2 linked regions of the Macaca mulatta genome follow. The protein of the gene in region 1 interacts with the protein of each later gene in a biochemical or structural test. Links are inferred from orthologs where the notes say so. Each region holds a gene or a part of one and is shown on either strand. Other genes may lie near its edges.

The links. The genes of interacting proteins can lie anywhere in the genome.
Region 2: the proteins of SP1 (region 1) and DDX5 form a complex in vitro, tested with the Homo sapiens proteins (2 studies listed by BioGRID). The link is inferred for Macaca mulatta from reciprocal best matches to the Homo sapiens genes SP1 and DDX5.

The regions. Positions count from the first base shown.
Region 1 is NC_133416.1:60,525,326-60,531,627, reverse strand, and holds the start of SP1 (transcription factor Sp1), read right to left. Parts: upstream 4,342-6,302; 5' UTR 4,303-4,341; coding exon 4,296-4,302; intron 3,792-4,295; exon of another isoform or gene 3,595-3,791; coding exon of another isoform or gene 3,513-3,594; intron 2,956-3,512; coding exon 2,798-2,955; intron 2,503-2,797; coding exon 990-2,502; intron 1-989. UniProt on the Homo sapiens protein: Transcription factor that can activate or repress transcription in response to physiological and pathological stimuli.
Region 2 is NC_133421.1:74,402,544-74,408,794, reverse strand, and holds the start of DDX5 (probable ATP-dependent RNA helicase DDX5), read left to right. Parts: upstream 1-2,565; 5' UTR 2,566-2,795; coding exon 2,796-2,839; intron 2,840-2,861; exon of another isoform or gene 2,862-3,124; coding exon of another isoform or gene 3,125-3,168; intron 3,169-4,041; coding exon 4,042-4,207; intron 4,208-4,563; coding exon 4,564-4,660; intron 4,661-4,768; coding exon 4,769-4,902; intron 4,903-5,013; coding exon 5,014-5,079; intron 5,080-5,315; coding exon 5,316-5,457; intron 5,458-5,538; coding exon 5,539-5,699; intron 5,700-5,785; coding exon 5,786-5,958; intron 5,959-6,251. Other genes in the region: CEP95 (centrosomal protein of 95 kDa), read right to left, coding at 183-311, 1,774-1,792. UniProt on the Homo sapiens protein: Involved in the alternative regulation of pre-mRNA splicing; its RNA helicase activity is necessary for increasing tau exon 10 inclusion and occurs in a RBM4-dependent manner. Binds to the tau pre-mRNA in the stem-loop region downstream of exon 10.

The DNA.
Region 1 (6,302 bases):
TGCCTCCCGGATTCAAGCGATTCTCATGCCTTAGCCTCCCGAGTAGCTGGGACCATAGGCATGTACCACCATGCCTGGCCAATTTTTGTATTTTTTGTTGGACAGGGTTTCGCCATGTTGCCCAGTCTGGTCTTGAACTCCTGAACTCTACCCATCCACCTGCCTCGTCTTCCCAAAGTGCCTGAATTACAGGAGTGAGCCATCGTGCCCGGCCCATAATCAATTTTTATCCTATGGAGGAGTTGGCCTACAGGCCAAAGAAGGCCTTAGAGCTAAAAATGGTTTTACATTTTTAAAAGGGTGCGGAAAAAAACATACAAAAAAGAAAATGTGGCTAGGCGCAGGGGCTCGTACCTGTAATCCCAGCACTTTGGGAGGCTGAGGCAGGTGGATCACCTGAGGTCAGGAGTTTGAGACCAGCCTAGCCAACACAGCAAAACCTCGTCTCTACTACAAATACAAAAATTAGCTGGGCATGGTGGCGTTTGTCTGCAATCCCAGCTACTCAAGAAGCTGAGGCAGGAGAATCGCTTGAACCCGAGAGGCAGAGGTTGCAGTGAGCCGAGACTGCATCACTGCACTCCAGCCTGGGTAACAGAGCAAGCCTCTATCTCAAAAAAAAAAAAAAAGAAAACAGAAAAGAAAACGTGACCACATGAGGCCCACAAAGCCTAAAATATTTACTATCTGGCCCTTTACAGAAAAAGTTTGTCAACCCTTATTCTGCAGCACCAAAAACACTGAGTAGTACACAGACTCCAAAATATTGCCCAGAAGTGCTCCTTTCTCATCAAACTAACTGGAGAAGTTTCCTTTACTTCAGTTCCAAATTACTTAAGCAGAATCTCTATTTCTCAAATTTATTTGCCTATATGACTAGCCCTCAAGAAAGTGTTATCTCAAAAAGCTCTATTCCCTTATTTAGACTCAAGTTTCAGCTAAGATGCTAGGGTTGGTTCCCAATAAATGCAAAAGATCGGAAAGCTTACCTGGAGCATTTGCTATAGCCAACGGCAGGCCTTGAATTGGGTGCACCTGGATTCCTGAAGTACCCAATGCACTGAGGTTAATGGTCTGGAGGCCTGGCATGGAGGAGAGTTGAGCAGCATTCACAGTGACTGTGCCAGCAGGAATGGAAGCAGCTGAGGCAATGGGTGTAAGAGTGGTGCTGCTGCTGCTGGTCTGTCCCAAAGAAACACCCTGCATTGGGGCTAAGGTGATTGTCTGGGCTTGTGGGTTCTGAACTTGGAGGTTCTGCAGCTGTAGAGTCTGCCAACTGACCTGTCCGTTGGGCCCCACTGTTGGTGTCCGGATGATGATGGGACCAGAGTTTGGAACAGCCTGAAGCTGGAGGTTCTGGAGGGTTTCTTGGGAGATAGCTTGAGTTGTAAAGGTCTGCCCTGACAATGGTGCTGCTTGGAGGGCCTGGAGGGCCTGTCCCCCTTGAACTAGCTGAGGCTGGATAAGAATTTGTTGCTGCTGTGTCTGCTGGTTTTGCTCTCCTTCTTTTTGCTGACCTGCTTGCAGTGAGCCTCCAGATGTCTGGTTTTGCTGGATGTTCAGAGCATCAGACCCCTGTAGCCCACTGACCCTCTGGGGTGTCTGGCCTTGAGAGTTGGTCCCTGATGATCCACTGGTAGTAAAGTTCATAATTCCCATGTTGCTGGTGGTAGTAGTAGTTGAGTAGCTATTGGCATTGGTAAAAAAGGAGCTGGAACTGGCTTGTGATGACACCAAGCTGGCAGAACTGATGGTAGTCCCTGAGGTGACAGGCTGTGAGCCGCTCTCCTGGGACCCAGAGCTGCTGATGGTGACTGCCTGAGAGCTGGGAGTCAAGGTAGCTGCAGAAACGCTGTTGACAGGTAGCAAGGTGATGTTCCCATTCAGGGCCACTGGTACATTGGTCACATACTGAGTCTGTCCTGAGAGTACATTATTAGCCAGGCCTTGGAGGGGGACAGCCTGCTGGAGTAGATTTGGCATAGCAGCAATGATGTTGCCTCCACTTCCTCGATTTGTGATAATCTGTTGGTTTGCACCTGGTATGATCTGTATTTGACCAGAACCATCCTGCTGCACTTGGGCCCCAGTGGCAGCAAACTGCAGCTGTTGCCCATCAACGGTCTGGAACTGTGGGATTACTTGATACTGAATATTAGGCATCACTCCAGGTAGTCCTGTCAGAACTTGCTGGTTCTGTAAGTTGGGAGTGGCAGCCACAACATACTGCCCACCAGAGACTGTGCGATTCTTGGAAGACTCACTGCCATTGCTGCCATTGGTACTGCTGCCACTCTGTTCCTTTGAGGTAGGGGTAGCCCCAGAGGAGGAAGAGATGATCTGCCAGCCATTGGCACCCTGTGAAAGTTGTGTGGCTGTGAGGTCAAGCTCACCTGTTCCCCCTGACTGACTCGGGCCCTGGGAGTTGTTGCTGTTCTCATTGGGTGACTCAATTCTGCTGCAAGTTGCTGCCAGCAGAGCCAAAGGGGATGGCTGGGACTCCTGGCCAAAAATAAGGGAGAGGAAAGGAGTTAGTGACACCCAGCTGCCAGCCTAGGGGGCAGTATACAACAAATAAACAGCAACGTAGTGCAGACAAGGAGCAAAAAACAGAAACAAAAAGCTGACCTATCTGTATTGCTGAAACTCCTGTCTTTGGGGATCTCCATACTCTTACTTCTTATCTATAAAATGGTTTTGATAAGCTCCCTAAAAAGCTTTCTATGAAGAGTAAGGCAATTATCTAAGAATATTTACATCCTCTCAACATCTTCCCCACTCTATTATTATCACTTACCTGCCCTCCTCCTCCTCCACTGCTGCTGCTACTGCCTGTGCTGCTACTTCGAGCCTGTGAAAAGGCACCACCACCATTACCACTGCCCCCATTATTGCCACCAACTCCTTTTTCAATCTTCACCACAGCTGTCATTTCATCCATGGAGTGATCTTGGTCTAAAACAATTAAAAAACAAACAACTTAAACTTGAGGGAAGAAAAGAGATGAGGTAGGAAGGATAAAAGGAGGCTATGATGAAATAGCAATGACTAACAGGAAGGCGAAAGGCGCCAGTATAAAGAAAATGGATTGGAGGGCAGAGGGGAGCTGCAGGGCATGCAGGACATGAACTAGGCTCAATGGTGCCAAAAGTGGGCCTCAATTCTCCCTTACACAAAATTAACTAAGAAAACATTCAAAAAGTGCTTTGGGGATAGGAAATGTGAAGGATGGTAGTCATGCTGAAAGAGTTTCAAAATAAGAAAAAGTATCCTAAGGGAAAAAAGGACAAGTAAGGCAAAAAACAATATGTGGGTGGATGGAAAGATTGCTAAAATTAAGGTTAAAAGAGATGGAGAGGCCAGGCGCGGTGGTCATGCCTGTAATCCCAGTACTTTGAGACGCTGAGGCAGGAGGATCACCTGGGGTCAGGAGTTTGAGACCAGCCTGACCAACAAGGAGAAACCCCGTCCCCACTAAAAATACAAAATTAGCCGTGTGTGGTGGCGCATGCCTGTAATCCCAGCTACTCCCGGAGGCTGAGGCAGGAGAATCGCTTGAATCCGGGAGGTAGCAGTGAGCCGAGATCGCACCATTGCACTCCAGCCTGGGCGACAAGAGCGAAACTCCCTCTCAAAAAAAAAAGAGAGAGATAAACAAAAACCCAAGTATTAAAAGTAACAAGAGGAGAAGGGAAAAAGAAATAAAAAGTTTTAGTAGGAAAACATTTGTGAATACTACTAAGGAACTAAAGGGGTGTACTGGTTAGTAGTCAGGAGGTTTCGGGGCGGAGGGCGGGCCCTGAGGGAAAGGGCGGTTTCGGGGTGAGGGGCGTGGAAAGGGCGGGACGGTGGGGCGGGGGGAAGGGAAATCTACGGAAAGTGGGGGGAGGAGGGCGCCGGAGCAGGCGGCGACCAGAGGACGGACCAGACAAGCGGTTGGCCCGGGCGGGGCCTTCACTGCTCGGGCCGCCCCCGCGGCTCCAGCCCCCGGCGGGAGGAGCCTCAGGCGGGCGGCCGAGTAGTGGGGGGTAAGGCCCGTCCCCCGTGGCCGGGGCGGGCAGGGGGCGGGCGAGGCCACGCTGCCCCCTCCCCCGGGGCGGGCGGCCCATCCCCCTCCTCCTCGGAGGCCCAGCCACTGCCCCGTCTCCCTCCCTTCCCTCCGCCCCGGGCGGGACCTAGGCCGCCGCCGCCGCCTCCCGCCCGCCCCCCCTCACGGCGGGGATCGCCCGGTCGGCCCTCGCGCGCGCCCCCTCACTCGCCTCCCACCCCTAAGCTTGGAGTGGACTCATCCTTACCGCTCATGGTGGCAGCTGAGGGACAAGCTCAAGGGGGTCCTGTCCGGGGGGGTTGGGGGGGGCCGGGAAAAACGCGGACGCTGACGAGGCAAGCGAACCCGGACCGGACAGGGAGGGGGGGGTGAGGAGGAGGGAGCAGCGCGCCACCAGCCCAACCTATGCCCCGCCCCTTCTCTGCTGCCCCGCCCAATGAGGGAGGGGGAAAGGTGGGACTTGCAGAAGAAAGACGGTGAGGTTTTCCAATGGCAAGACTCGCTTGCTCTCTAAGGCGTGTAAGACTAAGTTGCGTGCCTGGTGTCCGCCCAAAAAGACAGCCCTCTCAGTGTTAAAAGCCAATGAAAGATGCAGGAAGTGAAGATGGGCGGGAGCTGGGGATTATTGGCTTGGAAGGAAACCAGTCAACCGGCAGGCGGGCTCCCTGAGACATTGGGATAGGGAAAGGTTTGATAGGAATGACAGAACAACGGCCAACTAGAATCCGGGATATGCTTGGGCAAAATCCTAGTGGGAGGAGAGGTAAGAAGTAGACAGGAATAGGATAGGCTGAAGCTGATTAAAACCAATCAGAAATCAGGCGGGCAGCCAGGAAAGTTATGATTGGATTAAGACTGAAAAAAGACAGGAAAGGACGCATATTGACGTGAATTAAAAGCCAATTAAACGCCAGATTAACTCTGAGGGCGGAAACTTGGAGTGGCAGAGGAGAATTGGCGGCTCCCTAAGTTATTCAATCCAATGAGGGAACGAAGTAAGCCTGGCACCGCCTCCTAGTTGGCCAATGGGCGTTACCGGAGCCGCCCATCATGAGGGAGGGAAGAGGGCTGTGCCAAGAGGAGACCGTCGCCATATTGGCCCACCTCAGGGGACGTTGTTACAGTCATTAGGTGGGACGCTTTAGTGAAGTCTTGCAGCTCAACAGGTGTCAGAGCCAAGGCATTCGGCGCGCAGTTCCGCATCAACACTAGGATTTGTTTGAGTCTTCATTTAACTGCCCCTATAAAGTACCTCTCAAATCTTACCCGTTTCCCGGGTGGGCGGACAGGCGGGCAGATACCTCAATGTCGCTGCAAGCCCTGCGAGTGCAGCCGGAACGGGATTTGGGGACAGCGCTCACCAAATAAGTTAATACTGAGCTGACCAATATGCAGAGTCTCCGTAAGATTCCAGAAAACGCCATTTTGTTAAGTTCCGCCAGACAAAGGCGCTAACCACTTACGACTGGTTAACTTTTCAAGCTTTGAGGCTAAAGTGCGGATAAGTCACTTCCATTTTTCCGAGTTAATAGTAAATACCGCCTATGCATAAAGCAAGATAGTTGAGCTCCTGCTTTTTGCAATCACGAAGGTTAAACTTTACTGCAGGCACCTGGATTTCTGGCCTCCTCTTTATCCGTGTTTTGGTGGAGCCGGCCTTGATAGCTTGTCAATGACACGATAAGGTCATGTCCTTCAGTATTTGTATCTTAAATGTTGTCGCTTGCTTGTATGTTCTTATGTTTTAAAATCTGAATTCTCCTATACTATTTTAAGCCCTTTGGAGTTAAGAACTGAGGCCTTGGCCGGGCGTGGTGGCTCAAGCCTGTAATCCCAGCACTTTGGGAGGCCGAGACGGGCGGATCACGAGGTCAGGAGTTCGAGACCATCCTGGCTAACACGGTGAAACCCCGTCTCTACTAAAAAATACAAAAAAAAAACTAGCCGGGCGAGGTGGCGGGCGCCTGTAGTCCCGGCTACTCGGGAGGCTGAGGCAGGAGAATGGCGTAAAAACCCGGGAGGCAGAGCTTGCTGAGATCCGTCCACTGCACTCCAGCCTGGGCGACACAGCGAGACTCCGTCTCAAAAAAAAAAAAAAAAAAAAAAAAAGAACTGAGGCCTCTGATGCTTTAGACAGGTAAAAAGGTGAAGTAATTGCTGACTGCCTACAGTGTTAGGTGCCTAAGTCAGGGAGGCAGTTGGTATTTCGTGTCATCCTTATCAGGAAGATGTTATTAAGTATTAGCTATATTAT
Region 2 (6,251 bases), on another chromosome or scaffold:
AATACCATTTAATATACGATATTTAAATATTGTATATTAATATATAATTTAATATGCAATATTAAAAAATATATAGGCAAAGAGAAAATGAAATGTTATAAATACCAAAGCATCTAACTAAAGGACCATAAACTTCTGACCTAAGATATAGGCAAAATTACTCCTGCTTTTAGTAGTCTTACCTGGTACCTTTTCTCCCAAAATAGACTGATAAAGGGCAATAAAAACATTAGCATCACAGTCTTGAAGTTCATGTATTCTCAGATGTATATGACACTTAAAAAGAAGGCTATTGGCAATGGTTACCCACTCTGTTGGGAAAAAGGGGGAAAGATCAGTCTTAAATACCACCAGAAAAAAATCACACACCCATTCAAAAAATCCAACAACCTCCCCACCCAGAAAAAAAAAAAGACACTGAACTTTGTAGAAGATAGGGAATTTGATTGTTATAGAATTTCAAAGACCCGTTAGGCATGATTTTTAAAAAGATGTATTTAATTTCTTGGGATGATTTCCAGAGTGCTGTAATTTCTATACAGTCAAAACTATACTGCAAATTCAACTGTTACTGTTGCAGCCTAAAATCTTAAGTTACTTATATAAGCCTTACGTGGGTGTTTTTAGTTAAAACATATTTACAAGTAAACAGGAATATTATGTCATAAGCAACAGTTTAATAATAATCTGAAGTTACTAGACAGTCATTAATAAAATATGTTGCTTCAAACTCCCAACAGTATTGGTCATGTGTTTACCCAATTATCTTGTGCAAGTCAGGATTTCTCTGGTGCCCAAATAAGTGGTGATTAAACTTAGGCTGTTAAGAACTGGCATAATGACAACATCAACACTAATGCATTTCTTAGTTTTTCTTTTTTATTATATTGATCTACATGAAACAAAATATTGGAAGTACATGAAGCTCAGAATTATCAATACTGTTGACGTTTCCTGCATACCACATTCTCCTCTCCCCTAGATATTGCTGGGATTTGCGAAGTTTAACAGTTTCTCTACCAAAAGCAACTTAGCTTAAAATACTTGTTCCTTGAAATGCCTGACGATTGGTAGGAAAGCACTGGCAATCGATATTAGAAACAAACATCTCCACTATGTTCTGGACACATGACGTTCTGGAAACGAATGAGAGTGTATCTTCCAGGCACATAATCCCCCTCTCCAAGCCCATTTCTCACAACTGGCCAAACCATGACAACTGGTTTGTACGCAGTCCTAGTGAAAAGGATGAAAGCGTCCTAGACAACCAAATTAATTCGCTCTTCAAAAGCGGTGCTAGACAAAGCCCATGACTCTAGAGGGCACTGAAGAGAAAAAAGCACCACTATTCTTCTGTGGCAGGGGCATGAATAAACCTTAAGAGTGCCGTTCCTTTAAAGACCACTACAAAAGGAGGTACGACCTCAGGGCCCATAGTGCAAGGGAGGAGGGCACATGGACAGCGGCTAGACGCCCCACAGAAAGACAAGTCCGAGGACGACCCTTCTGACTGCTCTTTTTGCAGCCAGGACCCGAGCGTCCTACCGGCCTCGCCCCAGTGCCTCTCTCCCACCTCATACTGCTGTTCCACGGCCTCAAAGCGAAGAGGGGGTGAAGCTGAGAGACCCTATCCAGAGAACCCGCCACCGCGACGCAGCGTCTGACAGTAACGAGCCCCGCCGACACCCCAGACCCAGTCCGGGCTAGCCCGAGGCCTCCCTGAAGGTGGACAGTTTCAGTAAACACACACCGCGACCCCAGGGAAACACTCACCAGCCTCCGAGCGGGCCATGTCTCGGAAGCAGGTCGCCGCCGGACTCCGACGCTGCCAGACCGGCGACGGTGTCCTGCAAGGACCGAACGCAGAGCAGACGCTGGGGGGCGGGCGCACGAACTAAAGCGCGGGGAAGGAGGCGTGAAAGAGGGAGGGACGTTAAAAGAACTTCTCGCCGCTGATTGGTCATCAGAGGAGCACTTCCTTTCACAGCACGTGCCACGGAAGCGGTTTGGGAAGTTTAGAGACCATTCTCCGCCGGCCAAAACCCGTCACAGGATTGTCAGACCCGTGGGTCGGACGGTCCAAGTTAGCCGGCAGCTGGGGGCGGGTCCCGGGTGCTGGCAGCGCACTTCCGGTGAGCTATTTCGTTATGTATCCCTCCGCCGACGTCAACGGGGAAGTAGTGCGGCCCCCTGTCACGGTGGGCGGTGGGGGGGTAACGTCACGTGACAACGCCAGGCCCCCGCCTTCCCTCTCATTTGGTTACAGGCGTGAGGGCTCTTTGGAGACGTAAACACCTCCGAGTGGGGAGGGTGGGCGGGCTTGGGCTGGCTGTTTTATCGTCTGGCTGGGCTTGGGAAAGGGCAGGGTGGCTTTCTTGAGGTGTGGAAAGACGAGAAGAAGGTGAGGTCAAGAGAGTGGAGAATGAGGCATTTCAATGGTGGGTGGGCCCTGACCTGAGAGAGCGGCACGGGGTGGGGTGAAAGCGCGGCGATCGCGGAACGCCGGCGGGCGTTGCGGCCTCTGCGCGAGGGGCGGGGCGATTAGGTCATAGAGCGGCTCCCAGCGTGCCTTGCGGCGTAGGAGGAGGTCCAGACTATAAAAGCGGCTGCCGGAAAGCGGCCGGCACCTCATTCATTTCCACCGGTCTCTAGGTGTGCAGCTTTGGCTGGTGTCATCGCCGTCACTCCTCCGCTGCCGCCCCCGCAAGGCTTCGCCGTCGCCGAAGCCATTTCCAGCGACTCGTCGCACCCTTTTCTATCTACTTCGTTCCCCGCCAACCGCAACCATTGACGCTATGTCGGGTTATTCGAGTGACCGAGACCGCGGCCGGGATCGAGGGTGAGTGTGGGAGCCGAGTTGTCAGGGCTGGCGGGTGGGGGATGGGAGGGCGGGTCAGGGTGGCGGCGGGCCGGGGCTTTGCGGCTTGGACTCGGCCTTTCCGGGCTATCTTGGGGCCTCCTTTCCCGAAGGCTTGCGCCATTTTGATATTCACGTAACAGTGAGTGGGAGAGATTTGACGGGATAGTGTCTTCATCCTCGCTTTTTGTGTGGGGGTCGGGGAGCCGTCGGGGCGGCTGCCATTTGGTAGCTGTTGAGGGAATTCAGAGGGAGCGCATTGTTCGGATGAAAGCGCGACGCTTCGAGGCAGACGAAGGAACAGCTGTTAGGTGCGGCCTTTCGGGAGGTGTTTTTGGGGTGGTCGGGCATTCTGTGGGAGCGAAGGGACCACCTCCAAAGCCACTGGTGCTGTGGGGGTAGGAGGGCGGCCGGCATCAGCCATGTGGCTGAGTCGCGGGTATAAAATGCCGGCCTTGGACATGGCGGCGGCGCCTTTGTTACTCCGCCCGGCGGAGGAGCTCAAAATGGCAGCGTCGAGAAAATGTGGCGCAGAGAGAAATGCGAGACAAAGGGGGAAGCGCCGCCCCAGCGGGAACGCCGCCCGGCCGGCTCCGCCCGGGCCGGGACTCCTCCCCCGGTAGTCGCCGGCTCCTCCTTTTCTTTTTTCCTGCGTTATATAATTTTAATTCGTTGATCCGGAGCTCTACCGCGGCGTCCCCCCAGCTCGGTTTGCTAGCAGAAGTGTTTCTAAACCGTTGTTTCGTTTTCGTTGTCTGTGCTGTCTAGATTGTTGACATCAAAGCTCTTTGGCTTGAAAACGGCCATATGAGTAACATCGTTGTGATGCTCTTCGGTTCATGTAGGCTTGTTATCACTGATAATGAATTGCTAGACTGGTGAGAAAGATAATAGTAACCACAAGAAGTGGTGTGTAATACTAAATTCTGGCATCTGGGTGACAAGTTTTCGATATAGTAAATCCCAGGCTGTTTACGTGGCCTAAGTTGTGTGTACTTGGGACTACGGGAAACGTTAACTGTGGCTGTTGAGAGAGAGATTATCACTAAGGACAGTGCTAGGTTTACCTCTCGAAGTCGGCTTTCAGTGATCTTTAGCTTGTGCCAAGGGATGGTAAACAAATCTGTCCAGAAACCTAGGTGTAGCCATTTGAAAATGTAAATAACTTTTTTTCTTCATTCCAGGTTTGGTGCACCTCGATTTGGAGGAAGTAGGGCGGGGCCCTTATCTGGAAAGAAGTTTGGAAACCCTGGGGAGAAACTAGTTAAAAAGAAGTGGAATCTTGATGAGCTGCCCAAGTTTGAGAAGAATTTCTATCAAGAGCACCCTGATTTGGCTAGGCGGACAGCAGTGAGTAAATTCATGTGGCTTCATCAGGCTGTAACTCAATGGAGTCTAGTAAATGAAATTCTGACAGGTGTTTTGCAAATAACTCAATTTTGGTAGAGTTACGTTTTCTGACTTCGTAATTGGGAAAGGTGTGACTCACTTTTGCAAATAGGTGGCTTTGGGAATTTTTTTTTTTTAGATTGAGTATAGCAGAATAAACGGTTTTTTTGTCATATAGGGTTTTCATACGCGGTTCCAGATTAAAATGAAGCTACTTTAAACTAGTTACTAAATTATGAAGTTACGGGCTTGCCAATTACGTATTTAGTTAGGGGTGGTTGTCATGAGCTTTAAGACTGTTATAATTTGTTTTGCAGCAAGAGGTGGAAACATACAGAAGAAGCAAGGAAATTACAGTTAGAGGTCACAACTGCCCGAAGCCAGTTCTAAATTTTTATGAAGCTAATTTCCCTGGTGAGTGCTACTTTTCAGTTCTACCCTACCCCTGTGTTTTTGTTTTCACCTACCTCCTCCTTTCCTTGGCATCACTAATTTTTGTTAAATATCTGTCACTAATTATAGCAAATGTCATGGATGTTATTGCAAGACAGAATTTCACTGAACCCACTGCTATTCAAGCTCAGGGATGGCCAGTTGCTCTAAGTGGATTGGATATGGTTGGAGTGGCACAGACTGGATCTGGGAAAACATTGTCTGTAAGTTTGAGAGAACTCTTGATGTAATATGTGCAAGAAAACGGAATGCTAATTTAAAAACAAGAGTATTTTAATGTGATTTCTGTTTGTCCCCGTCTTCACCCCAAATAGTATTTGCTTCCTGCCATTGTCCACATCAATCATCAGCCATTCCTAGAGAGAGGCGATGGGCCCATTGTAAGTATATATTTTTAACTTTTTATTAGAAGTGTAATATATAGATTTTTAGACTACATAGCAAAAGATGTAATTATTTGTGGTGGTTTTATACAGAGGTTAGCTCACCCTATTCAGCTGGAGTTGCTTTGGGTATTGGACAACACATGAAGAAAGGATCTGCCATCATAACTAATAAGTTAATAGTTTAAAACTAGTATCCAGGTTTGTGCTGAAAGCTGTTTCTCTTTCCTTAGTGTTTGGTGCTGGCACCAACTCGGGAACTGGCCCAACAGGTGCAGCAAGTAGCTGCTGAATATTGTAGAGCATGTCGCTTGAAGTCTACTTGTATCTATGGTGGTGCTCCCAAGGGACCACAAATACGTGATTTGGAGAGAGGTCTGTAATGAAGAGAGTTTTATTTGTTATTGGTGCTAAATATTTTAGGTATTATAGTTACACTTACGTGTTTAATTAAAGGTGTGGAAATCTGTATTGCAACTCCTGGAAGACTGATTGACTTTTTAGAGTGTGGGAAAACCAATCTGAGAAGAACAACCTATCTTGTCCTTGATGAAGCAGACAGAATGCTTGATATGGGTTTTGAACCCCAAATAAGGAAGATTGTGGATCAAATAAGAGTAAGTGTCCTTTGAAATATGTGATCAAATTCAATTCTATTTTCACTTTTAGTCTGACACTAATTTTTCCCCCCAAAATCCATTAGCCTGATAGGCAAACTCTAATGTGGAGTGCGACTTGGCCAAAAGAAGTAAGACAGCTTGCTGAAGATTTCTTGAAAGACTATATCCATATAAACATTGGTGCACTTGAACTGAGTGCAAACCACAACATTCTTCAGATTGTGGATGTGTGTCATGACGTAGAAAAGGATGAAAAGTAAGTTTTATTAACTCTGTTATATTCGCTTCCTAACCTTGCTAAAATTGAGGGATCATTGTTATTTCAGTTGGTGTGATTTCGTTTAGTTAGCCTATTAATCCTTCTGAAAATATCTTGAATTCTTCAAATAATGATTATCACCGTTTATAGTTTTCCTATAGAAGGAATTCATGTGTCCCCTGGTTGACTTAAGGACCAAGGGTCGAACTACTACATAAGTGGGTTAGCAGGTGTTTTCTCTTTGACTTCCAGCCATGTAAATTGAACTTAATGTTTTGCTGACCATAAAT